Oryzias latipes: one gene and its partners. Each later gene encodes a partner of the first gene's protein in a complex. Links are inferred from orthologs where the notes say so. Each region holds a gene or a part of one and is shown in the gene's direction. Other genes may lie near its edges.

Region 1 (6,939 bases):
ACATACAACAACAGGTCAGGTTAAAGCCTTATTGACTTCCAGAACTGGCTTTAAGCTGCTTTTGTTGTGCAGTTTGGTTTGATTTTATAACAGCACAAAACTAATAAATTTTTCAGATAAGATTGTATTTTCTCTGATTGTAGGTTGTTAATGGGAGATGATCGTGTTAAAAATGGCCTCAATTTCATGTATGAAGCTCCACCAGGCGCTTCCAAAGGTAAATGATCTTCCACATTTGTCAATATGTTTGTCAATTTTTTAATTGAATATTTCTTTGACATCTTATGTTTAACATGTACATTTCTGTTCTTTTTGCTGCTCTTCGCACATTTTACTGACTTGAAGAGGAGACAAAAGAGGTAAAGTTAACAAAAATCTTTATCAACTCACTTATTAGACAGAGGGGAATAATTCTAACCAAGTAATTCCAAGTGATTTTCACCTAAACATTAACAATCCACTTTTTGGTTTATTTTGTCATTGATAATTGTTTATTCAATAGCTGCACACAATTCTATCTGGCTTGTTTAAAAAAAGTGTGTTTCTGCAATAGTCATGACCAGACTGCAGCTGAAGAAAAACTCCTTAACAGCCTGTAAACATTTAAATACTGACTGTAACATCCCATTTAAAAAATACTTAAGACTAAAACAAACAAAATAATTAATTCAATATCTTTTTAGAGGCCAGGTTGAATGAAAAAAATGAAATGAATCTTGTTAAAGGAGCAAAATTTTGTCTTTTGTTCAGAAAAGTTTGAAGAGAATAGTGGCTACAGATAAATGTTTCATTCACAATAAGAAGGAATTAGATCATTTCCCCTTTGTATGTAGAAATCCACACTGTTAAACTACCCTATTTATGACCGATCACTCTTGTTTTCACCTTTATGACTAAAAAAAATTATCACAGTTTTGCTGTATAAAAATATTCTGCAAGTTCAGGGTTGTTTGAAGTTGTAATACATAACTATCTAGAAATGGATTGGCGTTATTCATGTCTGAAAGGCTTTCAGTTTCTAGAAGATGATCTAATGCAGATCCAGCTGCCATATTTTGTGTTCTCTTCAGACATTTTTTTATTATTATATTGCCCAGGTTATGGTGGTATATTGTCTTTAATCTTGCCTCAATTTAGATTGTTTTTCTTTTTTTAAATGCAAAATGTATACATCTTTTTTGAGTTTGCCCTCGTAGGACAAACAAAATCTATAATGTTAAAGATAATCTTATGTCCATATTTCTGCTTCTCAGGAGGGTCAGGAGGAATGCAAGTTTGAGTGGCAGAAGACTGCTCCCCGAGAGAAGTAAGTTCTAGATTCTGACACATTTTTTTAGAGGTTGCTTCAAGACTTGAGTTTTTGGTCATTTTATATTTTCATTGTATGTTTTAAGATGTATTCATGACCAGTTTTGGGGAGGGGGAATCAGCCTGGTTGCATATTTTATTTGCCAGGTCATAAAATTATCTTAAATCTATTAGATAAAGATGGCAAATCATTAATATGATATTTATAGTAAAGTATATTAAAATGCTTCAGGAAAATCATGAATCTGTCCTACGTGTTATCAGGATCCAGCATAGGTAGTCTCATTCAGTCTACTTCCGTGTCTTGGAACCAACAAACCAATTGAATGTGTACGAATGTCCCAGTTATGGTCAGAGCAGCCGTAGGCCTGTACTGGCAGCCACGCCTTTGTCAGTCTGCCCCAGGCCAGCTCTGGCTACACCAGTAGCTTATCATCACCAAGTATAAATGAGGAGTGAATCAATAATGGACGCTTTGTAAGTGCTTTGAGCGTCTGGAAAAGCACAGAAAAATCCAATCCATTATTATTAATATTATTATTAATATTATTATTATAACAATCCCACATAATAGAATAGTCATTGCCTTCTTGGAAAGGTTCTCTCCCCTTTAAACGGTAAAGCTGTTAATTCAACAAACCAATTACAGAGCAACCTTCTCTTCCTGATTGAGGTTCCTGAAAAGGCGATTTTCAAAGCGATGTTAGAGTTCTCACTTTAAACAAAGTTCTTAAGGTCTTTTGTGTTGAGTACTTGTTGCTTCAAAGGAACAGCTCTGTGACACAAACCTTGATAGCGGCAGAGGCTGCTGGAATTCTCCTGATCAGCATTTTCTTATCACGGACAATGAATCATGCTGGACACACTTAAAGATAAGGTAGCAAGAAAACACTTCCTGATCTTTTTCTTCTGTACACGAGAACCAGGGCCCAGCATCTGTCCCCCTCTGTGTGTTTTTTTTAATATTTCCACTGCTTTATTGTGTCAGATCACAAGTTGGAGGTATGTTAGTGGGTCACTGCTATGCTCAAGATGATTGACAGCTAACACCACCAGCTAATCTCACATGTTTCACTGCTGCACCTTTTGACTTTCATAGTTTTACACAAGCACTATGCTGCTTTTTGGTAGCGTTAATGTACTCATTATTTGATTATTATCCTGATTGGAAATGTTTGATATTATTTTTGACATTATTATTGGGGGGGAAATATCCTCCCATTCAGTTTTTTTTGCTGCTTTGTTTCCACCTACTGAAAATTAAAGTTGGTTAATTAATTAATTAATTAACTTATTTTTAAGGTCTTTTTAAGAACTTGTTAGTTTTACAGTGTAGTCTGTCCGTTCTTTAAGTTGATTAAACCAACATGTTCCCTGTTTATTTTTATAGATATGCAAAAGATGACATGAATATTAGAGATCAGCCATTTGGAATCCAGGTGAGTGAAGATTTATTCCTATTTTTTAACTGCTTTGTTACACAGGCAAACTGCACATTTGCTCTTTTGATTCAATTATCTTAGTCAACTCCTCTTTTTACGGAAAGAAAAAATCAAACAAATAAATAAACCCTGCTGCAGTTTCTTTCTTTTTGGTCTGGAAATACGATCTAAACTAAATGTAGTGAATAGAAACTTGTTTATTTTCTGTTAAATTTGTGAATTAAGTTTAGAGTTTTTGGTTGACTGTTGGTACTAATAATGCAAAAATAAGAAATATAAAATTAAAAAATGTAATAATTTGTCTTTTTTCCATTGGCTTTAGGCTTTAAGTATCTTAGAAAAAGTATTTTAAAAATAAAAATAAATAAAGTATTTACTTTTTTTGTAAATGAAAAGCTTGAAATCCTTCTTACCTTCTGATGCACTCAATTATTAATATTTATCTAAAAACTCAAACTTGTAAATTAACTGCAAACACTAACAATTCACCCTAAATCAAACCAAATGTGAAATCTCAGCCTTCAACACTGAGAGAGCCATTGAGGCTGATTATTCTGACCAAAACCCAGCAGGAACTGCTTAAAAAAATACAACAGTGCTTTTTATTTATGGTACTTTTAGGAGAAATGTAATTGAACTAAACACAGCAAAATAAAAACAAAGTAGCTCTTTTTCTTGAATCTGATGTTTTGCATTTGACAAAGGCTGTATCAAGTTCCTTTCAAAATATGACACTTTTTGCATATAGAATCATCCCGCTGCAGCAAATTTACTAATGAAAATTTTTAAACAATACAATCCAAAAAAGGACATTTTCTTCTGTCATTTCATTACCTACTACTCCTAACCTCAATATATATGGCTTCAATGGTTTAGGATCCAGTAGTAAAAGTATATAAATTACATACAAACATATATCTTTTCCAAGATATATACATATATACAAGAGCAACTAAACAATGTTATGCAGCTTTATGTGCTTTACATGAAAATAATAGTTTTGGTGTTTTTAACATGTTTCCATGGCATTTTTCTCACGACGGCGAATATATTCAAAGGAAAGTATGTTTAAAATTGCATTTCTGAGTATTTCTCTATTCAAATCATTGTGAATCAGGAGCAGAAGAAATAATGCAACTTGGAAAAAGCTTGTAGGTGTAGAAGCTACAATCAGTGGGCCAAAAGGACATAATCATAATTAAAAGCACTGGAAACGTGTTTAAAATGGATCACAAGATCTATGTACATGATCTATGCATTAGATCACAAAATAAAAAAGATGATACTTTGCTTATTTCACTTATCCCCTATCATGAATCTAACTTCAGCGATAAATGAAGGAACACTGTACTTGAGTTTAGAATATTTTTTTCCTCCTTATTAATCCCAAGAATCTATATTTACAGCATAGTTTTGGGGCCAGCATGAAAAAAGAAATGCATATATGAATTATGAGAAGTCACAATTTTACCATGGAAATTTTGTTTTTTCATGAATTAAACATTATATTTTCCCTCTTCAACCAAACATTATTTGTGTGTGTGTTGTAAACAATTGAGAGAAATAGGATGGACACCACACTGCTCAAGAATCGCTCCTTTGGCTTTTTTGTGATGTACAGCTTTATTTTAACAGTTTTGTGCCTTCATTCCCATAAAATGTAGACTTATTTCCCCTCATGAACTTTTTTCAAATATTTCTTTTTCTGTATGGTGGCCCTTATACTCTGTCGTATATTATGACGTTATTTCTACAACCTTTTTATTCAACAATTGAATAATTTTTTTAATTCATTTTTTATTTTAAAGGTGCGCAATGTCAGATGCATCAAGTGTCACAAATGGGGCCACGTGAACACAGACAGAGAGTGTCCTCTGTACGGACTGTCAGGCATCAACGCCAGCTCCATGGCGTCTGAGGAGGAAGCAGGTACCATTTTATGTGCTCAAGTATTCTTTTTTTTTTCTCTCATCAGTATAAATGGACCTTCAAACAAATGTTCTTATAAACAGGTTTTATTTTAAAAGCATCAAATGAAGCATACAGAATCCTTAAAGCATGCTCAGGGTTTTTACTTGCATCTGGTGGTGGTGCAGGGCTAGAGCGGTCGACCTCTGGTTGAAAGATCACAGGTTCAGTTCGCACTCTGCATGTCCGTGTGTCGACGTGTCCTTGAGCAAGACACTGAACGCCACGTTGCTCCTGGTGGTTAGAAGTTGGCGCCAGCGTTTGGCAGCAGAGCCTCCATTATTGGTTGAATGTGGGTGAATGGGACTGTAAAGCGCTTTGGGCCTTCTAAGAAGGTAGTGCTGCGCTTTACAAGTACACGCCGTTTACCATGTGCTTTCTGAAAACGCACGTATGGTGTGACTATTTGTGGTAAGAATGTGAATCCGTGGTTGGCGGGGGTCAGCGGAGCAGCTTTTTTTTTGTCTTCCACACATGCTGTGGCTCGTTTACCTCTGCATCATTCCTCTCAGGCTCCAGCTAAAGCTCACAGCCTTCAGCTGATTCCAAGTTCTGCAATCAGCGAGCTGAGTAGTAAAGTGATAATGTTTACCCTGGGAGAGTCCAGTCAGTGGGGATGATGATGGAGTGCCGTAATGGTTCCCCTCCTGTGCCGGGAGAAAAAAAATGTAATTATTGTGTATTCTGATTCCCCTAACTGCTGCTTTGGCAGTGAACGATATTGTATGATTTGCTCAGCCGGAAGTGGAGTGAGTTGATTTGGTGTCCCATTCTGTTAACAAAGCCGCCTTTGGAATTCCCGCCGTGGAGATAGTGGATGGTATACATCCCACATCAATGGGACTCTTAGGGTGTGATTTGTGCCAACAGGTCCGTCGATGCACCCCTCCGAGTTAATGGCGGAGATGCGAAACAGTGGGTTTGCCCTCAAAAAATGTGTCCTTGATACCAACTCTATTGTTTGCGATTCTACACAGGTAATTGTCTGTCTCACACTGTCATCGTTGTGCGAATATGATGATACACAAACGCACATCTACACAAAAATGTACCCAACAAAGAAAGGGAAGTTTTGTTAGGTTCTCAGGCTTCATGAAATATGCTTAGTTTTTAATAAACGTTATTTTAAACATCTATAATAACTCTAATTCACCAAAAGTCTTTCTTTTTTCTTTTTAGCAATATGTTGCCAGTGATGAAGAAGACGATCCAGAAGTGGAATTTTTGAAGTCATTAACCACTAAACAGAAGCAAAAGCTCCTCAGGTAAACAGGATTTCATTTCAGTCTTGCAAATTCTCAGATATTTGTACATTTTAGTTTTTAAGGCTTAAGGAGAAAATGTTTATGTCCAACATGAATGTTCTCATTGTTTTTATGTGTGCTGATTTTTCAAATATAAAAAAAAAGTTTACTTCTTTGCTGTTTTGCAGAAAACTTGATCGGCTTGATAAGAAAAAGAAAAAGAAGAGCAAAAAACAGAAGAAGAAAAGCAAAAGAAAGCACAAGAAGAAGCAGGAGAGCAGTGATGGCTCAAGCAGCTCCTCTGATGACAGCAGCAGTGACAGTGGCTCAGATTCAGGCGCTCACCGAAAATCCAAGAGCCAAAAGAGGAAGAAGAACAAGAAAGAAGAGTCCTGTCGGGATAACAGCTCTGAGAGCGAGCGGCGAGTCAAGAGTCACAAAAAGGCCTCCTCTCGCAGGAGCAGGTCAGCAAGCCCTCACACCGGACAGAAGGAGCCGAAAGAGGACTCTGGAGATTACAGACAAAGAGGAGTGGAAAGGGGAAGGAGCAGGAGTAGAAATCGCAGTCCCAAGAACAAGAACACTCCAGAGGGAGGTCAAGATGGAGGGAGACGCAGCAGCAGGGACAGGCAGAGACCCTCCAGCTCCAGGGCGGACCCGGACCGAAGCAGAAGCCGCGAGAGGGGCAGGGAGGGCCGAGGTAGACAGAGGCGTCAGAGTGAAGACGAGAAGAACAGATGGGAGGCAGAAGAAAGGAGAGGCAAAACAGCTGACAGGAGGAGCAGAGAGAGGAGAGAAGAACGAGAGGGAAGAGGAAGAAGTAGGAGCCGAAGTGGGGATAGAAGCAAAGAGCGAGTCAAAAGAAAACCCTAATACGTTCAAAGTTTTTTTTTTTTTTAGCTTTAGTCAGTTTTTAAAATGCCTGCAGCTCCTGTTTAAAATGTAAAAACTGTTGTTATCCTTTTCCTCCACTAGAG
Region 2 (6,638 bases), on another chromosome or scaffold:
AACTGCATATTTTTTATCCGCTCCTGACTCACAACAGTTTGAACAAAGAAATACTCGGAAATTCAATTTTCTGTTTAATTTTCTTCATATTCAGAATAATGCTGCCAGAACGTGTTAAAAACACCATGTTCATTTAAGCAATTCACTTCACCTTTTTCTGCGGTCACATTTAGCTTAGAGCAGTCCCACGTGCACTAATGACGTGCACATCACTTTGAAATGACTAGATTACTGATGCAGATGTAGATCTTCGTGAACATAAGTGTCATAAAAGTTCAGCCCATTAGAACTGGCACTTGTTTAGAGCGGTTTCATATTTTAATAATCTGACTGAAATCATAATGTAAAGAATAAACTGACATTATGAGATGTCAGAGTACATTTTGGTTGGGAGGGTCCAGTTTGTTGGACAGGGATCAGTCCCGTTTTCTGTCTGCTGTAAACTGTTCCTGGTTTGTTTACTGAGCAGTAATAAATAACGGTGAGGATGTGAGTCATCGTTCTGAAGCTTCGGTTGTTCCACAGATCAGTGCTCTGAGTTGTCTTCCTCTGTCGTTTGCTGCTCATGTTCTCTGTTGGAACAACACAGATGCCAACAGTTGAATCAGAAAAGCTGGTGGAGCTAATGTTGGCAATCTGCATCATTGATTTTGTGTTTTTCTTGTGTCTAGGTGATGTTGGAAACTACTATTATGGACAAGGACACCCCATGAAGCCACATCGGATCCGCATGACTCACAACCTCCTCCTGAACTATGGCCTCTACAGAAAAATGGAGATCTATGTATGTTTTCCTGTGCTCTGTTGCTGTGAGGAGCGTGTCTCCATGTGACCTGATCCTCAGCAGACTTCAGACATTAGGAAACGTCGATTTAGCTTGGCGGTTTGCTCTTAGTTCTGTGTTCGCTCCTGCTTTCATTCAGTTCTGGTTTCTTCCCTTCCACCTTTCTCCTGGTTTCAGAGGCCACACAAAGCCACCGCAGACGAGATGACCAAATACCACAGTGACGACTACATCAAGTTCCTCAGATCCATACGGCCAGACAACATGTCCGAGTTCAGCAAGCAGATGCAGCGCTGTGAGTGGGCTCTGTTGACGTTCAGACAAACTTAAGGAAGCATTTTGTACAGGATACAAGTCAAGTGAAGTGGATTGTCAGTGAAGCTACAATCCGTCAAATGTTTCCAACGCTGGACGTGGGACCACCTACTTTTATTGAGGCATCTGATTGGTCACTTTATAAGTGATAAACCTGAACTATAGACTGCATAACCTAGAGAATTGCATAACCTGAACTATAGAATGATGTAAAAACAAAAGGGATGACGTCATCAGAAAAAGTATGGTTCTTCTGACCAATAGAATGACTGAGGAACAGCTGTTTATTTCTCTATAAAAGTCGATTTTGGATTTTGCGATTTTGGCTTTTTGGAACCAGCAGGTACTTCCTGTTTGGAATGCCATGGGGAGGAGGGCCACTCAGTCCAGTTTTCTTATATAGTCAATGGCTCATACCAAACGCGATTTGCAAGTCATGGCATCTAGTTTACATGTTAAGTCAATCTACAGATTTGGTTAGAAGGCCCGTGGCTCATTTTAAGTGTCAGGGGGGTGCAGTTCTTTAGTGGTGGGGCATTTTAGACAGTGGGGCTACACAGTGTGGCAACATTTCACAGTGCAGCACCATGTTTCCAGAGTTTAACTATGGCAAAGAGTTTGTGTTGCTTCAACCAATCAGGGACTCAGCTTTGGCCCGTGACGTCTTGATGAGGTGATCAGTGGGTGGAGTCTAAAACAGACATGAAGGAGAACCTGATCATTCTCTTCGTGAACTTCACACTTTCCTTATTATCATTGAGACAATAATAAAACGATTCTACAAGTAGTATACAGTAAACCCTTGTTTTTCGCGGGGGTTACGTTCCAAAAAAACCTGTAATAGGCAAAATCCGTGAAGTAGAAACCTTTATTTTATTTTAAATATTATTATACAATTAAATACTTATACATTATTATACATTGAAAAGAAAGAACAAACCATTTTACAGGCTCAAGCATTTGTTTCACAAATAAAAGTACTTTATAAAAGTTTTTTTTTCAACAAATAACGTCTGTACTGTTCTGTCAAATAATAATTTGAATCATCGATGTGAACAGAAGGCTTCAAATCGCGGAGATTAGCCCCGCCCACCGCGACCCGAGAGTAATTGAATTAAACGGGAGAAAATTTAAAATGATAATAAAAAAAAATACAAAGTACAGTGGGACAAATAGTGAGTCAGGTGTATTTCACTGCTATTCAGACTGAGCCGCTGCATCCTGACTCCGCTCTGCAGTGTTTTCTTCTTTTGAAGCCCGCGGTGCAGCTGTGTTTGTTCAGGAGAAGAACACAGTGATAGGCAGTTGTTGCTCTTTTTTCTATGGGTTTTAGAGATACTCGAAATTGCAAGAGAATTTGCACGTACATAATGTAAATTTGGCAAGCTGTTTTATGTACGTGTACAAATTAAACTGCAACGTTATTGACGCACAGGAAGAGAAGAATTAGAGTGACTTTTTAGCCAATCAGAATGCAGAACACAATGCACGATGCAAATCCGTGAAGAAGTGAAACCGTGAAAAGTAAACCGCGTTATAGTCCCTCCTGGGACTAATGAGGGACAGCAAGTCATCACACTGGGTCACAGAGACAGAAGTACCGCTGAAAGCATCTGTCATTCAGATGCAGCTCCTGCAGCAGACGGTGAAGCTCTCCATACTGGGGGAGTCTCTGAATGATCTCAGACATGGACACATGATTACTGATGATTTTGTAGAGCTCTTTGAAATAAATAAACCTGAAACTAAATCACTTCTGCTTGAAACACAAAGCTATTGAAGCAAGCTTTGTTTTTTTTGTTTTTAGGAAGCCCAGGTTATGACTTTTCATTGGTGTAATCTTTTTCAGTCAACGTTGGGGAGGACTGTCCTGTGTTCGATGGCCTGTTTGAGTTCTGTCAGCTGTCAGCCGGCGGTTCTGCTGGTGAGTCCACACAAACCACATCGTGCTTGTGGGACGTTACTAGTTAGAGACTAGTGTTACCTCAATTCCTCAAAGCTCAAAGCTGAGCTCTGCATCAGACCTGAACCCTGACCCCCTGCCCTGGTCTCTTTGGACAGCTGGGGCTGTGAAGCTGAACAGGCAGCAGACGGACATTGCCGTGAACTGGGCGGGGGGACTCCACCACGCCAAGAAGTCTGAGGCTTCGGGCTTCTGCTACGTGAACGACATTGTGTTGGCCATCCTGGAGCTCCTCAAGTCAGAGGAATTCTCATGAACTTCTCATCCACGGCTTTTCGTTTTCGGCAGATGAATGACCCTGGGTCTTGTCACCAGGTACCACCAGAGGGTGCTTTACATCGACATTGACATCCACCATGGAGATGGAGTGGAGGAGGCCTTCTACACCACTGACAGGGTCATGACGGTGTCTTTCCATAAATACGGAGAGTACTTCCCTGGAACTGGAGACCTCAGGGTGAGCAGTGATCACAAACAGACTGATGCCTGAGTGGAGATGGTTCGATCTTCCTCATGAAGGGTTTGTTGGTGTCTCCTGTGGTCCTCAGGATATTGGAGCTGGAAAAGGCAAATACTACGCTGTAAACTTTCCCCTGCGGGATGGGATTGATGACGAGTCATACGAGCAAATCTTCAAACCCGTAAGACACAGCCACACTGGAAATGATGAAGAACCTGTCAGTGGTGGCCTCATGTGCTGTTTGGGCCTGCAGGTGATGTCAAAGGTGATGGAGATGTACCAGCCCAGTGCTGTGGTTCTGCAGTGCGGTTCAGACTCCCTGTCAGGAGACCGCCTCGGATGCTTCAACCTCACCATCCGCGGTACAACGCAGCCCCACGCTACCTGCATGAGTGACACCGGCAGGACGGCCCTAACGCGTTGTTGTTGCAGGTCATGCCAAATGCGTGGAGTACATCAAGTCCTTCAACCTCCCGTTGCTCATGCTGGGGGGAGGAGGATATACCATTCGCAATGTGGCGCGCTGCTGGACTTACGAGACTGCTGTGGCTCTGGACACGGAAATCCCAGACGGTTGGTCTCTTGTTGTGTCAGAGAGCTTCAGCTGCTGTGACCTGCATGCATTCATGCAGGTACGCATGTGAACCAGCAGGGGGTGCAAACGTTCCGTGTAAAACGAAGGAGCGTTGTTCCCAGAGGACAGCTGCTTTTGTTGCAGGTGCTTCTGCGGACGAATCAACAATAGAACCAAAACGTTTAAAGCTGGTAGCTATAATTCAGATTGTATTTTGACTTCAGTTAACACAACAGTCTTTTCCCATGATGCTTTTGGGCCTCTGAGCTCCTCATTCTGTGCAGCTGCTGGAAGCATCAGTTTGTCTGCTTTCCATGCAGAGATCTCCTGCATCTGACTCTTTCTTTGACTCCTTCAGAACTGCCTTACAACGACTACTTTGAGTACTTTGGACCCGACTTCAAGCTGCACATCAGCCCCTCCAACATGACCAACCAGAACACACAGGAGTACCTGGATAAGATCAAGTACGTTTGTCTGGAATTACCGGGCCTTTGCTTCTGTGTCGGTATTGATGAAATAACCAGAAAAGCAGCACTGATATGCAACACGATGGTGAAGTGTTTGCACGATCAATGTAAACCAGCTGGTTCTGACCCGGACAACAGTGGCTTTGCTAACGTGAAGTGTTGCATTGTGGCACAAAGCTGCTCTGGAGTTACACTCATTGCATAAACAGTTGTAGAGTTATGATAACGTGGTAAGAACGTTTGTTCTTTTGCACTTGTTGGTGACTGCTCTGACATCAAAGTGTTCAGGCCCTTACTTGTATTTTTAAAATGGCAGAGTGAAAATCATTTGGATAACGGAGTCGAGGCTCTCATCAGCTTCAGTTGTCCTGCTGTGACTATTTTTTATTCTTTTTACAAGCAAACGGCTCCTGATTGTCTGATTTCACTACCAGTCTACAGCAGCACTCAGACGATCTAGTAATCCTTGGCACCGGGTTGAGCGGCCATCTCATTTAGCCGTTTTTCAGTTGAACTGAAACCAAACGGTTTGTCTTTGTGTGATGAAGTAGTTGTTTAAACGCCTCTTGGGAGTCAGACTGACGGCCCGTGTGTGTGTTCAGGCAGCGCCTGTTCGAGAACCTGCGGATGCTTCCTCACGCTCCAGGAGTTCAGATGCAGGCCATCCCAGAGGACGCCGTCCCAGACGATCCGCTGGACGAGGACAAGGAGGATCCCGACAAACGCCTGTCTAGTAAGACTGCTCGCACTTCCCGCCCTCCACAAACCTCCCGTGATCGCCCACGTCCCCGCTGCTGCATCAGCGTGTTGCTGTGTGTCCACAGTTCGGGCCACGGATAAGAGGATAGTCTGCGAGGAGGAGTTCTCCGATTCAGAGGACGAAGGGGAGGGAGGCCGGAGGAACGTGGCCAGCCACAAGAAGGGAGGCAAGCGGCCCCGCCTGGAGGAGGAAAAGAAGGAGGGAGAGGAGAAGAAAGCTGGTTGGTAACGGGGCAGATGGGAAGGAAAGAAGCTGGATGGAATCTGAAGCGTCTGACGTTTCTACTTCCATCCATAGATGTAAAGGAAGAGGAGAAGACGAAGGACAGCAACTCAGAGAAAACGGATTCCAAAAGGTGAAGTGTCAGCAGCTCCTGTGGAGGACTCCATCCTGTGATGGTCTCACGTTGTTTGAGCTTCCTGTTCGGACTCCACCCTCACATCCACCTGTCACCTTCCTCTGCAGTGTGAAGACGGAGCAGAGCAGCAGCGCCTGAACCCGGTTCTCCGCCGTGCAGCTCGTCACGGAGAGGCATTTTATTTATTGAGACTCCATGGTTGGACTCCAAGTCCCTTCCAACAACCACTTTGCATTTTTTCCAGAACCATGTGTTTCCAATGTGCTTGATCTTCTGAAGGAAACTTGAGCTCTTTTTGTTTTTAGCAAAACTCTGCAGGTGAAACTCCAATAGAAGTTGTTAATTTTTGATAATTTGCCTTTGTTAATAAAACTTTTTATACTGTTTCCTGAGCAGATTCTTTTGGGGGATTTGTGTAGTAAAACTGTTCAGACACTAGAGGTCACCAAGAGTTTTTGATTTCCATAATTATTACATTCTGAGGTAGAATCACATACAGGAATCATTTGGTCAGCATGAAATCCAGAACTACTTGTGGCTTTTTTAACTTTTAGTTTCGAATTTTGTTCAAAAAGTGGTTAAACATTTGACCCACATAGAAGTTTTATTCTCCAGAGGAGTAGTCTGTCGACAAAATGTTTTAAGAAATCCAGATTCAACTTAAAACGACCCCACCTGAATGATTCTGGGCTTTAAAAACAGGCTGACATGCTGTAAAGATCATGGATGTGCTCTGACATGTGGGCAGAGAGGACAGGCGGGTGGGTTCTGTGCTGGTTTGGGACAGGAAAGATGAGAATGAGGCAACATTGACTTCACTCAGCTCCCGCCGCACAGGTTAACGTGTCACACCTGGATAGGATGACGGTGGGAACAAAATCAAATAGGATCCAGATTTGTTTCAGCCTGTTTCTGCCGTCAGAAGCAGCCGCTGTGCTTCAGGGGGCTGGTAAC
Region 3 (8,029 bases), on another chromosome or scaffold:
TGAAAAGCGAGAAAGCTTATTTGTGATGTAGAAAATACGCTGGGCGAGCCACAAAGCCCCCTGCTCCGCTTCCACTCTGATGCATCCACTTGTAGACGTCTAGATCTATTTACATCTCTGTTTTTCTCGTCTGATCTGGCATCTGCCTAAAAACTGAACAGCTGGATAGCTCCAATTGTGCTCACCTTTTTTGTAGCACCTGTAATGTTGGTTTGGGGGTGTGAGGGGCTGTAAGCTAGCGTGGAGAGCTCAGTTAAGGGTGACAGTATGGGGGGGCTCCATACCAACAGTCCTGCCTACAACTCAGGCAAATTTCTAAAGAACTCTTACAGATGTCCTAGATAACAAATTTTGCAAAAAATGACATAATTATAATTAAAAGACCTCTGGGAATGTTTTTAAAATGGATTAAAAGATGATCGGAGTGGGTCTTTAAACACTCTTAAACTTCAGACCTTCCTCTGCCAGATGGGTTCAGTATTATAACATGAAAACAAAGATCATGTTGGGGTTCATGTAGTTATCATTTGCTGACGATTGAAGATTTATGTAAAAGCGGCGACCTGAGCTAATTCTGTACAGGAGACGCAGCATGGAGGAGATTGATTGACAAGATCTACAGCCAATCAGGACACAGAACTCAGTGCGCTGTCAAAAAAAACTCAAGCATGAAAGTTTACACAAATCTGCGAGACCGCAAAAGATGAACTGCCAGATAACGAAGGAACACTTTGCTCTCATCAGATTGTCTCTCTTGAGCTGGACAAGTATAATGATGGAGTACATGTTGTGTCCAGGCCGTTCCTGTCTTTCAGGCCAGTGAGTGGTTCATTTGAAGCAAACCCCCCCTTCTGTGAGGAGCTCATGGACAGAATGGTGACGCACTTTGAGGTCAGTACTGCCTGAGTGTTCACCTGTGCGGAGTTGTGCTGGTCTGTGCATTCACCCGGTTTGCGTCTGTGCTAGGATCTGTTGGAACAGTCCTCGGAACCGCTGTCCTTCATCATTTTTATCCCGGAGTGGCGTGACCCGGTGACTCCTGCTCTAACTCGCATGGAGGAAAGCCGGTTCCTGCGACATCAGCTAAGCGTCTCAGCCTACGAGCACGAGTATCGATCTGGAAGTCAGCACGTCTGCAAGAGGTAGCTGCACTTCTGCTGTTCTGATTCCACGTCCCACCTGATCTAATAGGTTTTTGCTTTTATTTTTTGTCCTTAGAGAAGACATGTACTACCGGGCTGTCCATGGAACTGCGGTACTCTTTCTACAGAACGACGCTGGATTTGCCAAATGGGCGCCCACACCAGAACGCTTGGCGGAGCTGACAGCAGCATATCGGCCTTCTCTGTCCCGCACTTCCTCCCTGTCCTCCCCTGGCCCCGCCCACATTTCCCCAGGAGACAGAGATTCCACCCTCAAGGCCTGTGATAGGACACAGAGCAGTGTGATGTCCCCCAGTGACCATGACAACAACAACAACAACAATGGCAGCACCAGCAGCAGTCCTCAGGACAAGCTGGCTGTGACAGAGGGGCAGAGCTTGTAGTGATTTTCATCCCTTGCGCTCTCATTGACCCTCACCAGCAACTGTAGCACACAAAGGCCGACACAGAATGCTGCTGTTCCCCCGCCAGCAAGGGTGAAGGCTTCATCTGACCTGTTCACCACTTCCCCCTCCCTCCGTCTGCTGGCCATTCTGATTGGCCGAAGCTCTCACGTGCTGTTTGAGATTCGGCCGCTCAGAATTCCAGCAAAAAAAGACTTCCCTGATGTCTGAGGACTCTCACTGGTTGGCAGCTATCGTTTCTACAGGACTTGTCTGTCTTTGACAGAATCTCGCAGAGCTCCCGCCCTCTTTGGTGAAGGAGGACTTGACTGTGCACCTGTTGAGCGCTGGCAGCTGGACTGATGGGGTCAAACAGAGGGGGCGGGGCCACAGTGAGATTATTGTCCGTCTTTTTCTAAACGTTCTTTTTTGTCACTTTCACCTCAGTTTTTCTTTTGCTTTGTAAATTAAATTAACATTGTAGATTTGTTTAAAAGAAAATTATTATATGAATTCAGATTTACAGCTGGGCCAGTCCAGAAGGACTTTAGTACAGACAGGTCTGGTCTGGTCCAGTCCAGGTTCAGACACTAAGACACTTTTAATCTCTCATGGGAGAACACAAATGAGCTGTGCCCCCCCCCCCACACACACACTTCTGGCCTGACCCAGCAGCTGCCCGCTGCTCTGTGACAGGTGTCAGGTGGCGTCTCTGCACCCATTTGTAGATAATGTACAGTTGGACCGCATGAGGTCTGTTGATGCTCTTTTCAGCTGAATTTTTTGTTGTTGTTTTGGATTAATTTAACCTTTTTAAAAGAGATGTGTTTGTGTATTCACGGCCCAATAGTTTGTTTTAACCCAAACCAAAGTGTTGTTTATAGGATATAAATGTGTATGTACAGGACAGGTGTTTATCTGTGTGAGCTGGGACTCTCCTCGCCTCACCATCTCTTCTTTTAGTTGTGCATGAAAAAATTTGGACCGCACACAATCGCAGAGCAGCATTTAAGGAAAAAGTTCAGAGTTGGAACAGAACCTGAAAAACCTGAAGCGGTTTTTTTTCTGCCACAGCTGAAGGTGTGTTCTCCCGAGAGTTGATGTCGTCTTTATTTCTGACTCTCAGATCGTCAAATGCTCTCTTACCTCCTCAACAGGTTGGTCCTGTTTCTTAGCAGAAGAGCGGTTTCCTCTTCCACAATAGGAGGGTGACGGGAGGCATTTCTGGTTTGTGTTCAGGGAGCCGCAGGACTCGGTTACCAGTCCAGCAGAGGGGTTGTTCAGTATAAGTCTGTTCAGACTCAATTTTTGTTGTCCTTAATACTGCCTGCAGACAAACTGCAACTCCTCTCCAAGTAAAAAGTATCCAGCCCAGTACAACAGCGTGTAGCTTGTCTTCATTGTCCCTCAGGTTTGAGCAGCTTTGTTATTGTTATGACATTTCAGATCTCATTGATTTGGAACAGGTTAGTTGCATCAGGTTTCTCAAAAGGTTTAACTAAAAACATGCAAAACTGGACTATAAAATGAGCAAATACAGCAGAACCATGCAAAGGTGTAATCCTAAAAGCGAAAAGTATGTTGTTGCATCAAAAATGGTTACAAAAATAAAGTTAGAGAATCTTAAGACCAGTTTGGTTAGTTTTGCAGTAAATGAACAACTGTACAGGTAATCAACAATACCTGCTTTATAAGCAAGTTACAAAATGCACTCTTCTGTGCTTTTTGTCTTAAAAAAACACTTTTTATTTATTTTTTTTGCTTTTAATCTTTTGTGACTAGAAGGAATTGTAGGAAGGAGATGAAGGAAACTCTAGACCTATTTTCCTTTTCTATTTGCTAAATTTGAACACCCTTTTTTCTGTTATTTATTGGTCAATTATTACCAGAAAGGGTCTTTTCTTTTCTTTTCAAAATGAGGTATTCGAACATAAATTTCTCTGATAAATGAGGTTGGACTTTACTTTTCAAAGCTAGTCCTGAGGGTTCACAAATGTTTCTGCTCCTGAAGTCTTCTCTGTGACATCTACATCATCACTCAAGGGAGGATGAAGCTTTGTCTCCTCTTACTGCTGCTTCTGCTACTATAACTTGACTGTGGTCTTGACCTTTGTCTTAAAGGTATGTGACACTTGTTTCCAATAAAAGAGGTTCCAGAGACTCATCATAGCACAGAACCAGACTGTGAGTGAATATGTGGTGCTCCTGCAGGTGCCCCAGGTCTGCACCAGGTCTGCTTTTTCACATTAGTGAGTCCTGAATGGCAACTTTTTTTCCAGCAGTTTCCCCAGCATCTCTGTGTCGGCATATACTGGTATGGTCCATGAAGTAGGAGACAAGTACAAACGTTTTGTTGAAAATATAAACTATGTTCAACAGATCTGTGTTACAACAGATGGATGTAAAAGAGAGGTAATACTTAAGAGGTTCTTACTTTTGACACCTAATTTGAAACAACTGATACTTTAAATGTGGGGCTTTTATCTTGATAAGGTGGTGACCGGATACGGTTTGTGTCTGTTTGTGAAGGACTTGTATGCGAAGTACATGATCCGAAAAACCACAGTGTATTTTTTTTATTGTTTTCTTTAAATTATATGACAAAACACTTTAAAATGTCGAGATATTAGCACTGTTTCCTCTCTTGTTCTTTTTTTTCGGTCTTACGGAAATTGTACCGGAAGCGTGACGTCAAGCTAGTCACTTAGCCACCGTTGTTTTTACCACCTGTTAGCCAAAATTGTAGTTGTTTCTGTTCGTTCGGGCTCCTTGGACCCTGGACAGCACAGTTTCCGTCATGGGAGCCCAGCGCAGTGAGGGAGGCCGCGACTGGCAGGAGCAAGAGGAGGCGGAGAATCCGGAAAAGATCACGGTTAGACGAGAGTCAGCTCCCGGCCTCCGCCGAAGGCCGACTCCGCTAAGATTAGCGAGTCCTGTCGCTGTTAACTTAAACTGTACATTATAATTATGAAAGCAACTATTATATTATATTACATCATTATAGTATTTATATCATTATAGTATTTATATCATGATTTTACTTACATCCGGAGGGGTCTGATGTTAGTGAAACTGGAAAATGTATTGAAACATAAAATGCAGAAACTAAGAGACTAAAGCGATGTTGTCGTCACTCAGTCATACTGATGTTCACAGAGGCCTTGGAACCTGATGATCAAGCACAGACACATCCACAAACGAGGTCGCCGCTCACTCTCGGCTGTCAGGTTAGTGCTGCTTTACTTCTACTGTTTCTACTCTTTCTCCTTCATGTTTAGTTGCAGTCCAGCCTCCCAACAAAGCAGCTCAATTCATGTTGTTTCCTTCGTATTAAAGTGCCATGTACAACTGAAATGGGCTCCAAATGAATCGTTTGTCTGTTTACTGCTAAACGTTGTACATCATGGAGTTCAATTAGGTTCAGATCATTCCAACAAGGCCACTCCAGTCATCTGTTGATCTGTTTTTAAAGTGTTTCCCGGGGCTTTTAGTTATGATTATGCCGCTTTTAGCCCAAATCCCCAAACTTTTGATGTTTTTTAGGACAGTTTCTGGGATAGAGTGGCAGTAATTCATTACAAATGTGCCTCTGTCTTGTGAGCTGGACCACTGCCGCAGAGTGAACGTTCCCCCACTTCCCATCATCCTTTTGTTTACATGCTGTCTCTCTAGCTTAGTGCCCCTCACACCCCCAATATCATCAGTGCAACAAAAATGGCGAGCAATATTGCAATATACAAACTATATTTGAAGAGTAAAATTATTTTAGTTTTATTGATCTGTAAGTAAATGGATTTGCATCAAATGCATGTTGAGTAGATTTCTCCTCTTTTTATTCTGGTCTGCCGTTTCTGATTATTTCTCACATTTTAATGAGGATGTTCCCATCTTGTACAGTTACACAGATCCTCATGTGTCCATGGACCTGTTGAGGGCAGTGCTTCAGCCCAGCTTCAACAATGACATCATGGCGGTGTTCATGAAGTATCAGAAGGTCAGAGTTTGCACTGGAGGGGTGGGCTGCTACCTTCGGGTGTGGACGAGAGTGAGCAGTTGTTGGTGTGCATCTTGCAGTTCTACGAGAAGGCAGCGGAGAACGTGAAGGAGAATGTAGGCATGGAGGTGCAGACGGATCATCTCATCAGGGAGGCCTACAGGAACGCTCTGGAACATGTGAGAGCAGTTGGTGTTCAGCTCTGACCGTGTCTACTCTCCTGTGGGGAAACTCTCTGACAACTTTATTCTGATGTTCTCCCAGGCCAAACAGCTCTTTCCAGAGAATGAGGTGAAGACGGCGGGACCTGGGGTAAGCATGAAGGTAAGATTTGTGGAACCGGCCAGTAAGACCCTGGCTGTGGTTTTAATCTGAACTCTGTACTTTTCCCTGCAGAGACTACCTAAAGCTTCTGATGAAGAAGGCTCACAGAGAGGAAGCTCCTTTCCTAGGAAGGTACGATGGCAGCATCTGTTGTACGTCAGGTGCTGCATTGACCCAGTCATTAATGGTTCTGTGTCCCCTCAGAGGAAAAGTCGCCCCACTGTCGCGTTTTCAGACCGACCCACAACCTACATTCCGTAAGTACCTGAAGATGAAAACAGCAGCATCTCTGCAGGTGACCTGACCTTTCATCATGTGTTTAATATTGTCTTTAGAGTGAAGCCCAAGATTGAAGCCATTAGGAGGGAGGGGCCTAAGGTGAGTCTGTCTTCACACACTACAGAAACTAAAATAGATGAGTTACTTTATTTGTCATTGTTACATGTACAGTGACATTTAAAAGTGCTCTTAGGGTAGTTTATTATTCTTAAAAAAATATTTAAAAAGTAAATAATTTGCAACTTAATAAATAAAAGTGCACATTTGGTCATTGATTTCCAAATAATAAATAAATAGTGCATCATATTGTCATTAAAAAACAAGAAATTACAACTAATACAGTTAAAACCACAAAAAAAGGATTAGTCATTAAAAATAAGAAGTTATAATTAGAAAGCAGTGTTAAAACAGGTGTAATAATATTAAATATACTTTTTAAAAAAGTCTGAAGACCAGAATGTTTTAAAAACATCAATAATTGCAGAGTTTCTGCAGCTGCAGTTACAATTTTAACACATTTTAGCAAAGTTTAAGTTAAAAACTGTCCTTCAGACGACTTGTCCTTTTTTTTAACTAAAACTGTAACTTCTGTTTTAAGGTATCTGCTCAAACATGGAGTCACCGGGGTGTGAAGCGCCTTTCATCATTTTCTGTCCTCTTATGAGGCAACAACCAAGATTTTTCTCCAAAAACTGGAGAAATTATTTTTCTTCCTTATAAAATAAGTAATTTGTATTCAAACATATACTGTATATCATCAGTGGGGATGTAATGACTCACTTTCCCCACGTTTCGGTTCAATTCTGTAAAATACGTTTTGGTTTTAAACTGATAATTCGGACTTCTATAGTCATCATTCTAACCGAACAAACATCGCCTCAATTCTTTGTGCCGACACGGCTGATGGAGTCTCTCACAGTGAACAATTGAGTTGAACGGTGTAGTGGCTTCCCGCTGGTTCTGATGTCAGGCAGTTAAAAAAGGGCATAAAGTAATGAATCTTGGAGATATCCTCTACTTAAGTTGAAAAGGATCCCTAAAAATATAGCAACTTTTTAGACAACCTGCTACAACTTCAGATTGTCTGTGCAGCAACAACCACAAAAATTGCTCCCAAAATCCAGATTTTGTCTTCATTTTCTTTCCCTCAGTGCACATGTCATTACAGTAATTAGTTATGATGATGCACTCTGTCTGCCTGAAAACATTGGTTGATGTTCTTCCATACCTGATACCTGATGGATGAATGCAAATAAACTTATAGTACCCTTTGTTTGTGTTCCAGTGGGATCCATCCAGACTCTCAGAGACCACCACCTTTGTTCTAGGCTCCAGAGCCAACAAGTGAGTTGGTGCATAAATGACACCACAGTATATTGATACATTGATGTTGTGTGACCATAAAGGCCTGACTTTCTTCATGTGGCTGCAGCTCTTTAAGCTGCATTGATGGGAAGGAGTTTCTTAAACTCCTTCCCATCAATGCATTTAATAAATAAATCCGCCTTCGCAAATGTCAGTCACAGACTGCAAGTATTCCAGCCTAGAAAGATGAGTTTGATCTGCAATGTTCCGCATAAGATGGAATTAAAAAATAAAATAAAATCCGGGAAATCATCTTGTATGAATTTTAAAGAATGGTGTCCTTTGACAGCTCTTTGGTCTTATTCATGGTGGAGAGATTATAGTCTGAATGTATACAGGTGTCTTGTATACAGATAACCAGTTCAAAAGGATGACATACAAGTAATGAGTGGAGGATAGAAGAGCTTCTTAAGAAGAAACAGCAGGTCTGTAAAGGAACAGAATTCCTGCTTGTTTTTAGGAGCTAAATATTTATTTTCTGCGTCATTACACACTTAAATTCTACAAGAATCTACAATATG
Region 4 (7,947 bases), on another chromosome or scaffold:
ATAACTGTTTTCAAAATTTCAAATTGACAATCTGGTTTTTCATTTATTTTAAACTGACCCTGATTTGACCCCACAATTAACCAAAACTGAAAAGTAACAGGAAACATTTAGCAGCCAGTTCAATGTAAAGCCGCTCTTTAGACTACACTTTTCAGCGACCATCATTGTTGAAAAAGGCGTTTATCATTATATACAGTAGCTTATGCATTTAATGATCAATGGTGATGTGTTGTTTTTATCTCTAAAGTCTCTGCCAGCAATGCTAACAGGTTTTTTCCTCTAGCAGAACATCCATCCCAGTTCACAGAAACATTCAACTGAGGAGAAAATTCTGCAAACAGATTTTTGGGAGCTTAACACAAAATGAAATCTTGATTTGTAAAGTTGTTTGAGAGTTTGAGGCGGCTTAGAAATTGTTTATCCCTTGTGCTATCTTAGATTACCCCACCCTTCCATTGACGTGTTCTCCCTACCATGACGAAGGTGGAAAGATTTCATGTAATCCATGGACACCAGTGAAAATCACAAATCATTGAAGAAAAAAGGTTCAGAGCACTGTCTAGTGGGTCTAGATGACCCAACTCCCAATGTTAAAGTGCCTAGGATAGCAAAATTGTTGTTTAAAAACAACAATTTTGTTCAAATTTCAAACACTGAACACAGAGCACGTCTGAAGCTGACCTTTATTGAACCTAGTGTGACTGGAATTCTGTTATACATAAAACATGAAGCATTAAATCAAAGAAGCAGAGGGAGATTTGCTACCGGCAAAGAAACATGAAGCAGGAAGATGAGTGGAAGTGAAAAAGCAGCAGAGAGGAGGTCTGACATTCCAGGACTAAAAATTCAACAAGCCAACACACATTCTGCAGAAAAATCCATTTCCACCCGTTTCACACAGTCTCAGAACTTCACCATCTCTCTCTTGATTTGCAATGGGCCAAAAATGTGGTAGAGTTGGGCAAAAATTGTATTTGTCATTCTTTTTTTTAAAGAATGTATTTGTGAGACAGATTTTGGTCCATACAATTTTCAGTGAAGGCTCCCTCATCCTTCAGTTCTGCTGGAAGCGGGCCGGGCCTCGTCAGTGGTTCAGGAAATGGTTCTCAAATTGAGCTGTGATTGGAAACCAATGGTCCCGCACACGCTCTTCTGCTTTCATATATGTTATTTGCAATGTGGTTTTGGATCGACAAACTATCTCTTGTCCACAAATGATTTTAGAGTATTTCTTTATGTTTACTAGTATACATGTTGACATGCATGATGCTGCAGGGCTTTTATCAACATGTAGGGATGATGTATGTATAATTTGCTGTCGACATAAATGTACATTTTATTTTGTTACACCTATATACTCTGTACTACGACTAGGCTTTTATAGTTATATAGATTTATACATTTCTGACTCAGTGACTGAACTTTTCTTGCAGGTTTCCAATGGATTCAGACTTAAGGAAAAAGTGGGCCTTAGCAATAAAAAGAGCAAACCCAGATGGATCACTGTGGTACCAACTAACAATACAGTCTGGCTATGTTCATAAGATTTTGTCGAAACACATTTTGATAAGACTGGCTAGACACCAGTAACACCAAATTGATCACTCACATGAATCAGTAAATCTATTGTTTTTCTTTATTTTTCTTCTTTTTTTAAGGGTAAATCTGTTATCAACTTTTGGACTTATTGTTGACTTATTATTGATTTATTCTTATCATTTATTATTATCATTGAATTACTATTGATTTATTATTAATATTTATTATTGATCTAGTATTATTATTATTATAATCATTGACTAATAATGTATATATTGTTATTATTTATTATTATTATTGACTTCCTATTGAGATATATGGATGTCTTAAGATATAAGGATGTCTTAACAGAGGACATGAAGTTGGCTAATGTTAGGGTAGAAGATGTCCATGATAGAGTGAGGTGGAAAAGGATGATTAGCTGTGGCGACCCCTGATGGGAAAAGCCGAAAGAGTCTTGTTGTTGGGATTTTCTAAATAATTAAAATTACATGTCGAAGAGGTCTAAAACTTCTACATATTTAAAAATTATTTTTAACATTCTGCAACTATGCATTTTTCATTAAAGTTTGAGCTTTTAAGGCTGCCTGTTTCACTTACTTAACAACAACAAATGGTGTATATATATATATATATTATGTATTTATATATATGTATACATATTTATGAACATAAATATATATAAATTATATAAAAGCTACTTACCAAAGGCTATAGAAATCATTGTCATGTGGGCGCCGTCGACCTCACCAAGATGGCGACTCGCTCCGCCTCCACCAGCCAGGCTTCCCAAGCGGGCGTGTCGCCTCTAGCGATATAACTCACTACTGTTTAAACCAATGAGTTATATCACTAGAGGAGACATGCCCGCTTTAGAAGCCTGGCCGACGGTGGCGGAGCGCGACGCCATCTTGGTGAGGTCGACGACGCCCACATGACAATGATTTCTATTGCTTTTAGAGGTGTCTAAGTAGCTTTTATATACTATATATGTTTTTACAATTTATATATATTTATAAATATATGTAAATACATTATATTTATATATATAATATATATATATATATAGATACATCATTTGTTGTTGTTAAAGAAGAGAAACAGTCAGCCTTAAAAGCTCAAACTTTAATGAAAATGCATTGTTGCAGGACTTCTTACAAATAAAAAAATTATTACAAAGAATTAAAAAAAAATAATTTGTAAACATTTAGGAATTTTAGACCTCTTTGACATGTAATTTAAATTATTTAGAAAAACCCAACAATAACTCAATAATAATAATAATAATAATAATAATAATAATAATAATAATAATAAATCAATAGTAAGTCAATACAAACAATAAATAATAGCAATACATACATAATAAGTCAATAAATAATAAAATATAAGTCTATTATTATTATTATTATTATTATTATTATTATTATTATTATTATTATTAATAATAATAATAATAATAATAATAATAATAATAATAATAATAATAATAATAATAAAATAAATATTCAAAAGAATTCCAAAAGTGAACAATAGATTTACCCTAAAATAACAACAACAAAGAAAAATAATAGATTCATGTGAGTGATCAATTTGTGTAACACAGATGGTATGGTGTCAGGTTTCAAGCTAACAGTCTGGCCTCTTATCTAAATTGGTTTCCACAAATGTTTTGAACAGTCAGACTGTATTACTAGTTGGTACCACAGTGATCCATCTGGGTTAGCTCTTTTTATTGCTAAGATCCACTTTTTCCTTAAGTCTGAATAGTGAATAGTGAAAAGTTCGGTCACTGAGTCAGACATGTATAAATCTATATTACTATAATAGCCTAGTATGCTGTATACAGGTTTAGCAAAATAAAATGTACATTTATGTCGACAGCAAATTCTCCGTACATCATGCAGCATGTTGATAATAACCCTGCAGCATCATGCATGTCAACATGTGTTCTATTAATAAAAGAAAAACAAAAGAAAAAGAAAGAAACAAAAGAAAAAAATTATAATACTTTTCTATGAAATGATATACTTCTTCTTTCATGGACTCAGTTCTCTGATTTTGGCAGTTGAAACACAAACAATGAACTGGTATTATGCAAAAAATGTGTTCAAATGCATTCACTGCAGCAGTAACTTGACCTCACCAAGATGGCGGTGCTCTCCTCCCATGAGGAACCACGTGATGTTTCCTCTAGTGATCATCACTCATTGGTTTAAACTCACTCCGCCATCTTGAGACCCCCTGTTCGCCCCTCCCCTCTCCATCCCCTGCGTCCCAGCATGATGACGTCACCTTTAAATGTTTACGGTTAGCCGTTAGCGGCAGGAAAAATGCGGCAGACTGAGCCGCTCTTTAAAAAGTAAAACCTCGCTGAATCTCAGGATTATTATTATTTTTTTTACATTTAAAATGTCTATTAGGACGTCTTACTTTTACGACCCAGATGTGGGAAACTTTCATTACGGTGAGTTTGCTGAACGCTGGGATTGGAGCAGGAGTGCTAATGCAAGCTAGCTGGAGGAGGCTAACAATTCAAACGATTCATTGTTAAAATTCAGCTCCAATTTTGTTTCTGGGTTTAATTAAGATATTTTTTTTTATCTCATTCATATGTTCAGGCCAGTGTGTTGTAGGTGAGTAATGAACACATAACGTCACATTTGGGTGCAAAGGAAAAGAATATTGTAGCGATCCTGCCCACGGCAGGAGTGTATGTAGATACTTAGGGTTATCTGTTGGTGTTTTTAAACCCTGACTGAGTTGGTTATTTCCAGGCAACATATTTGCAATTTGTATTCTATACAGGAATGGGCTATTATACTATATACCAATTAAGCTGAGGAGTACTGATTCTAGATTTAGGTAATAGAAAGGTTAATAATAATTAATTATGTCCTTACCCGTTTCTGTTATCATGAAAACTTTTAGGTCTTAATCACTTCCAGCTGTTTATAATCTCTGAACAGTTTGGGATTATCATTGATTTGGTTTTTTTATTAGTGTGAGCTCAGTTCAAAGCTGCTGTGAGTCCACAAAGAGCTGATCACTGCAGGATAAAAATGGAGACCAAAATCTAAAACAAGTGTTTGTCCCAAAGCATTCACGGCCTCTGATTGACAAAACGATTGTTGACAGAGTGTGATCGTGGTTTCTCTGGTTTTTATAGGTCTAAAAAGAAAAGACAACAACAAACAAACATTTACAGAACCGACAGCTGCAGCAGATTCAAACTAAATGGAGGGATTCTGCAGCATTTTTTTTAATCTTCTTTCCTGTTGGTCGTGAAAACGCGTTGGAAGTGTAATCATGTTGAAATGGAGCTGATGATGAAAAAGTGATGATGCTTGTTGTGAACCGCGTCTCCTGCAGGTGCCGGTCATCCCATGAAGCCTCACCGTTTGTCTCTCACCCACAGTCTGGTGTTGCATTATGGGTTATATAAAAAGATGATGGTGAGACACTCCTGAAGGTCCAGAACCTGCTTCCACTGTTGCTTCGAGATCAAAGATTGAACTCTGCAGTTTCTCTGTGACCGTCAGGTTTTTAAGCCGTACAAAGCCTCTCAGCACGACATGTGCCGGTTCCACTCTGAAGATTACATCGACTTCCTGCAGAAGGTCAGCCCCAACAACATGCAGGGCTTCACCAAGAGCCTGAACACCTTCAACGTTGGAGATGACTGGTGAGCGCTGCTGCTGCTGCTCCTCCTCTTCATCGATCTGTCTTCTGCTTTTGGTTCATGCAAATGTGAGCACTAACCCAACGGCGGGCTCTAGTCCTGTGTTTCCAGGACTCTTTGAGTTCTGTTCCAGATACACGGGGGCGTCTCTGCAGGGCGCCACGCAGCTCAACCACAAGGTAAGCCGTCCGCTTTTCTCCATCACTGGGTTTGTCATGAACCGTCACTCATGGACTCCTCTAGTAACGGATATTCAGCTCCATTTAGGAATTATTCACAGGGTCAGACTTTAAATGTTTACATGATCATAAAGGGCTGCAGATTTTTTACACCACAATCGATCATCATACTGAACGATTTCTCTATTAGACCGAGGAAATATTCCAAACTGCGTCACCCGGATAAACGAGAACCTTCAGCCACATTCAACGCAATCATTTAAAAAAGAAAATGGTTTGCTTATTATTTATCAAACATCGTTACTCACAGGAAGGTCACAAATAAGCTAAATGTTTGGTTTTTTTTACATGTTTTTGCAGCATTAATAGAGTTAATAGTTAAATATTCTGGAGTTTGTAACAAACATAGCAGCTTCAGTTCTTAAAAATATAAAAAAAAACAATGTTATTTTCAAGCTGCGTCTTAAAAAAATAGTTTCAGCAAATGTTTGGGGAAAAAACAGCCAAAGTTGTCAGCATGAAGCTGGAAATGTTTGGAAATTTGCATTTGTCTTCATTTGTGGCGATCTCATTTTTTAACAGCACATTGTGTTCTGCGTCCTGATTCGCTGTTGACCTTGTCAATCAATCTCCTCTGTGCCAAATCATCATCAGATCTTTGTTTGCATTCTATAAAACTGGATTTATTCTCCTAGTGTGCAAATGTGTGAAAGTGAGGAGTTATCCGACTGTCACCACAGACATCCATGGATGTATATCAATCCACAGATATACATACAGAAAACAATATCATTGAGTAGACGTTTGTCATCATCAGGACAGCTGATCCAGTTTTGAGCTGCTTTATAGTAAAACATGGTCCTTCACTGTTTGGTTCTGATTCGGAACATTAAGCTGGTTTGGACTGAAAAGCAGCAGCAAAGCAGCTTTCAATGCCAACCTTTTATAGACATCTTGGAAGACATTTCTAAATCATTTTCTTTATTTCTGTCTAAAAAGAAAGTCCTACATTTCGTAGCTGTTTTCTGTGTAAACAGGGCTTCTTTATTGGAATTAAAAGTTTAAAACGGTGACTCCAGCCGCTCGTTTCCTTTCATCTGAGACAGTAAAAAGACGAAAGATGTACTTTATTGAAAAACCTGGAATCATTGGAGTGTCATTTACCTTTTATTTATAATTATTGAAACTGCAACAGAATAAAAATAAAAACATTTTTAGGCTCCAAGCACTTTTAAAATACAATGATTTTTTTTCTGGATTTATGACTTTATTGCCATGACCTGAGATGACCAGCAGGTGTCACTGTCACAGTGCCTCCTTCTTGTCTGGATTTCCTTGAATGTAAATATTTTTGGTTGCAGATCTGTGACATCGCCATCAACTGGGCTGGAGGTTTGCATCACGCCAAAAAATTTGAGGTCGGTAAACTTCCACAGCTTCCTGTCTGTTCAGTTGAAGTGATTTGTGGTTGAAGATTTTTTTTTCTCTCTGTGTTTGCAGGCGTCGGGATTTTGCTACGTGAACGACATCGTCATCAGCATCCTGGAGCTTCTCAAGTGAGGCGGCGCTCCTCTGCACCTCCTCCGGCAGTTCCCGCCTTTTCTAAGTGTGTGTGTGTGTCGCAGGTACCACCCCCGAGTTCTGTACATCGACATCGACATTCACCACGGAGACGGCGTCCAGGAGGCCTTTTACCTGACGGACAGAGTCATGACCGTGTCCTTCCACAAGTATGGGAACTACTTCTTCCCGGGAACGGGTGACATGTACGAGGTGGGGGCCGAGAGCGGACGCTACTACTGCCTCAACGTCCCCCTGCGAGACGGCATCGACGACCAGAGTGAGGGCCGAGGTCTGCGCAGTCAGAGCCGTCTGCTGTGAGCGTGCAGTCACGGCTGTGTGTGTTGCAGGTTACCGGCAGCTGTTCCAGCCGGTCATCAAGCAGGTGGTGGATTACTACCAGCCCACCTGCATCGTCCTGCAGGTCAGCCGCCGCCGCCGTTTGTCCCATTGTGTTGTCTGCGGGTCGTTTTGAGAGCGAGGCTGTTTGTTTGCAGTGTGGGGCCGATTCCCTGGGCTGCGACAGACTGGGCTGCTTCAACCTTAGCATACGGGGACACGGGTGAGACTTTTACTCCGCGTCACGGAGGGTGGGGGCGGCGTTTCCGCGTGGTCAGCAGGATGACGGTGCTTCCTGTTTCAGGGAGTGCGTGGAGTTCGTGAAGAGTTTTAAGATTCCTCTGCTGGTGCTCGGAGGAGGAGGGTACACTGTGAGGAACGTGGCTCGCTGCTGGTTAGTGTTCCTTCAACCAATAGGTGTTACCATAGCAACCTGTGACGGATATTCAGGGTTTGTGTAACATCTGCTTTGTGGACGGCAGGACCTATGAGACATCTCTGCTGCTGGAGGAATCCATCAGCGACGAGCTGCCGTACAGCGGTGAGACGCTCCACTTCCTGTTACTGTTACACTGATCGAATTATCCAGTTTTACCGCCATCTGCTGGAAGGTCAGATCCGTTACCGCCGGTGAAGTCAGGAAAATTC

The links.
Region 2: cir1 (region 1) and hdac2 share a complex: the UniProt entries of both Homo sapiens proteins name them as parts of the histone deacetylase complex. The link is inferred for Oryzias latipes from reciprocal best matches to the Homo sapiens genes CIRSR and HDAC2.
Region 3: cir1 (region 1) and dnttip1 share a complex: the UniProt entries of both Homo sapiens proteins name them as parts of the histone deacetylase complex. The link is inferred for Oryzias latipes from reciprocal best matches to the Homo sapiens genes CIRSR and DNTTIP1.
Region 4: cir1 (region 1) and hdac3 share a complex: the UniProt entries of both Homo sapiens proteins name them as parts of the notch corepressor complex. The link is inferred for Oryzias latipes from reciprocal best matches to the Homo sapiens genes CIRSR and HDAC3.

Annotation. Positions count from the first base shown.
Region 1 is NC_019879.2:22,284,747-22,291,685, reverse strand, and holds part of cir1 (corepressor interacting with RBPJ 1), read left to right. Parts: coding exon 1-14; intron 15-143; coding exon 144-217; intron 218-345; coding exon 346-359; intron 360-1,253; coding exon 1,254-1,306; intron 1,307-2,698; coding exon 2,699-2,747; intron 2,748-4,558; coding exon 4,559-4,679; intron 4,680-5,588; coding exon 5,589-5,695; intron 5,696-5,897; coding exon 5,898-5,983; intron 5,984-6,150; coding exon 6,151-6,835; 3' UTR 6,836-6,939. UniProt on the Homo sapiens protein: May modulate splice site selection during alternative splicing of pre-mRNAs. Regulates transcription and acts as corepressor for RBPJ. Recruits RBPJ to the Sin3-histone deacetylase complex (HDAC). Required for RBPJ-mediated repression of transcription.
Region 2 is NC_019882.2:21,617,145-21,623,782, forward strand, and holds the end of hdac2 (histone deacetylase 2), read left to right. Parts: intron 1-671; coding exon 672-784; intron 785-961; coding exon 962-1,079; intron 1,080-2,948; coding exon 2,949-3,023; intron 3,024-3,160; coding exon 3,161-3,299; intron 3,300-3,377; coding exon 3,378-3,519; intron 3,520-3,610; coding exon 3,611-3,703; intron 3,704-3,775; coding exon 3,776-3,884; intron 3,885-3,954; coding exon 3,955-4,095; intron 4,096-4,454; coding exon 4,455-4,563; intron 4,564-5,168; coding exon 5,169-5,299; intron 5,300-5,390; coding exon 5,391-5,546; intron 5,547-5,623; coding exon 5,624-5,681; intron 5,682-5,791; coding exon 5,792-5,822; 3' UTR 5,823-6,070; downstream 6,071-6,638. UniProt on the Homo sapiens protein: Histone deacetylase that catalyzes the deacetylation of lysine residues on the N-terminal part of the core histones (H2A, H2B, H3 and H4).
Region 3 is NC_019863.2:18,086,092-18,094,120, forward strand, and holds the start of dnttip1 (deoxynucleotidyltransferase terminal-interacting protein 1), read left to right. Parts: upstream 1-3,875; 5' UTR 3,876-4,343; coding exon 4,344-4,418; intron 4,419-4,702; coding exon 4,703-4,773; intron 4,774-5,443; coding exon 5,444-5,540; intron 5,541-5,620; coding exon 5,621-5,719; intron 5,720-5,804; coding exon 5,805-5,864; intron 5,865-5,936; coding exon 5,937-5,996; intron 5,997-6,068; coding exon 6,069-6,121; intron 6,122-6,199; coding exon 6,200-6,242; intron 6,243-7,428; coding exon 7,429-7,487; intron 7,488-8,029. Other genes in the region: pcif1 (phosphorylated CTD-interacting factor 1), read left to right, coding at 798-891, 967-1,142, 1,219-1,546. UniProt on the Homo sapiens protein: Increases DNTT terminal deoxynucleotidyltransferase activity (in vitro). Also acts as a transcriptional regulator, binding to the consensus sequence 5'-GNTGCATG-3' following an AT-tract.
Region 4 is NC_019868.2:25,321,427-25,329,373, reverse strand, and holds the start of hdac3 (histone deacetylase 3), read left to right. Parts: upstream 1-3,817; 5' UTR 3,818-3,951; coding exon 3,952-4,006; intron 4,007-4,911; coding exon 4,912-4,994; intron 4,995-5,081; coding exon 5,082-5,224; intron 5,225-5,318; coding exon 5,319-5,400; intron 5,401-6,761; coding exon 6,762-6,818; intron 6,819-6,900; coding exon 6,901-6,956; intron 6,957-7,025; coding exon 7,026-7,240; intron 7,241-7,310; coding exon 7,311-7,384; intron 7,385-7,457; coding exon 7,458-7,522; intron 7,523-7,603; coding exon 7,604-7,693; intron 7,694-7,781; coding exon 7,782-7,840; intron 7,841-7,947. UniProt on the Homo sapiens protein: Histone deacetylase that catalyzes the deacetylation of lysine residues on the N-terminal part of the core histones (H2A, H2B, H3 and H4), and some other non-histone substrates.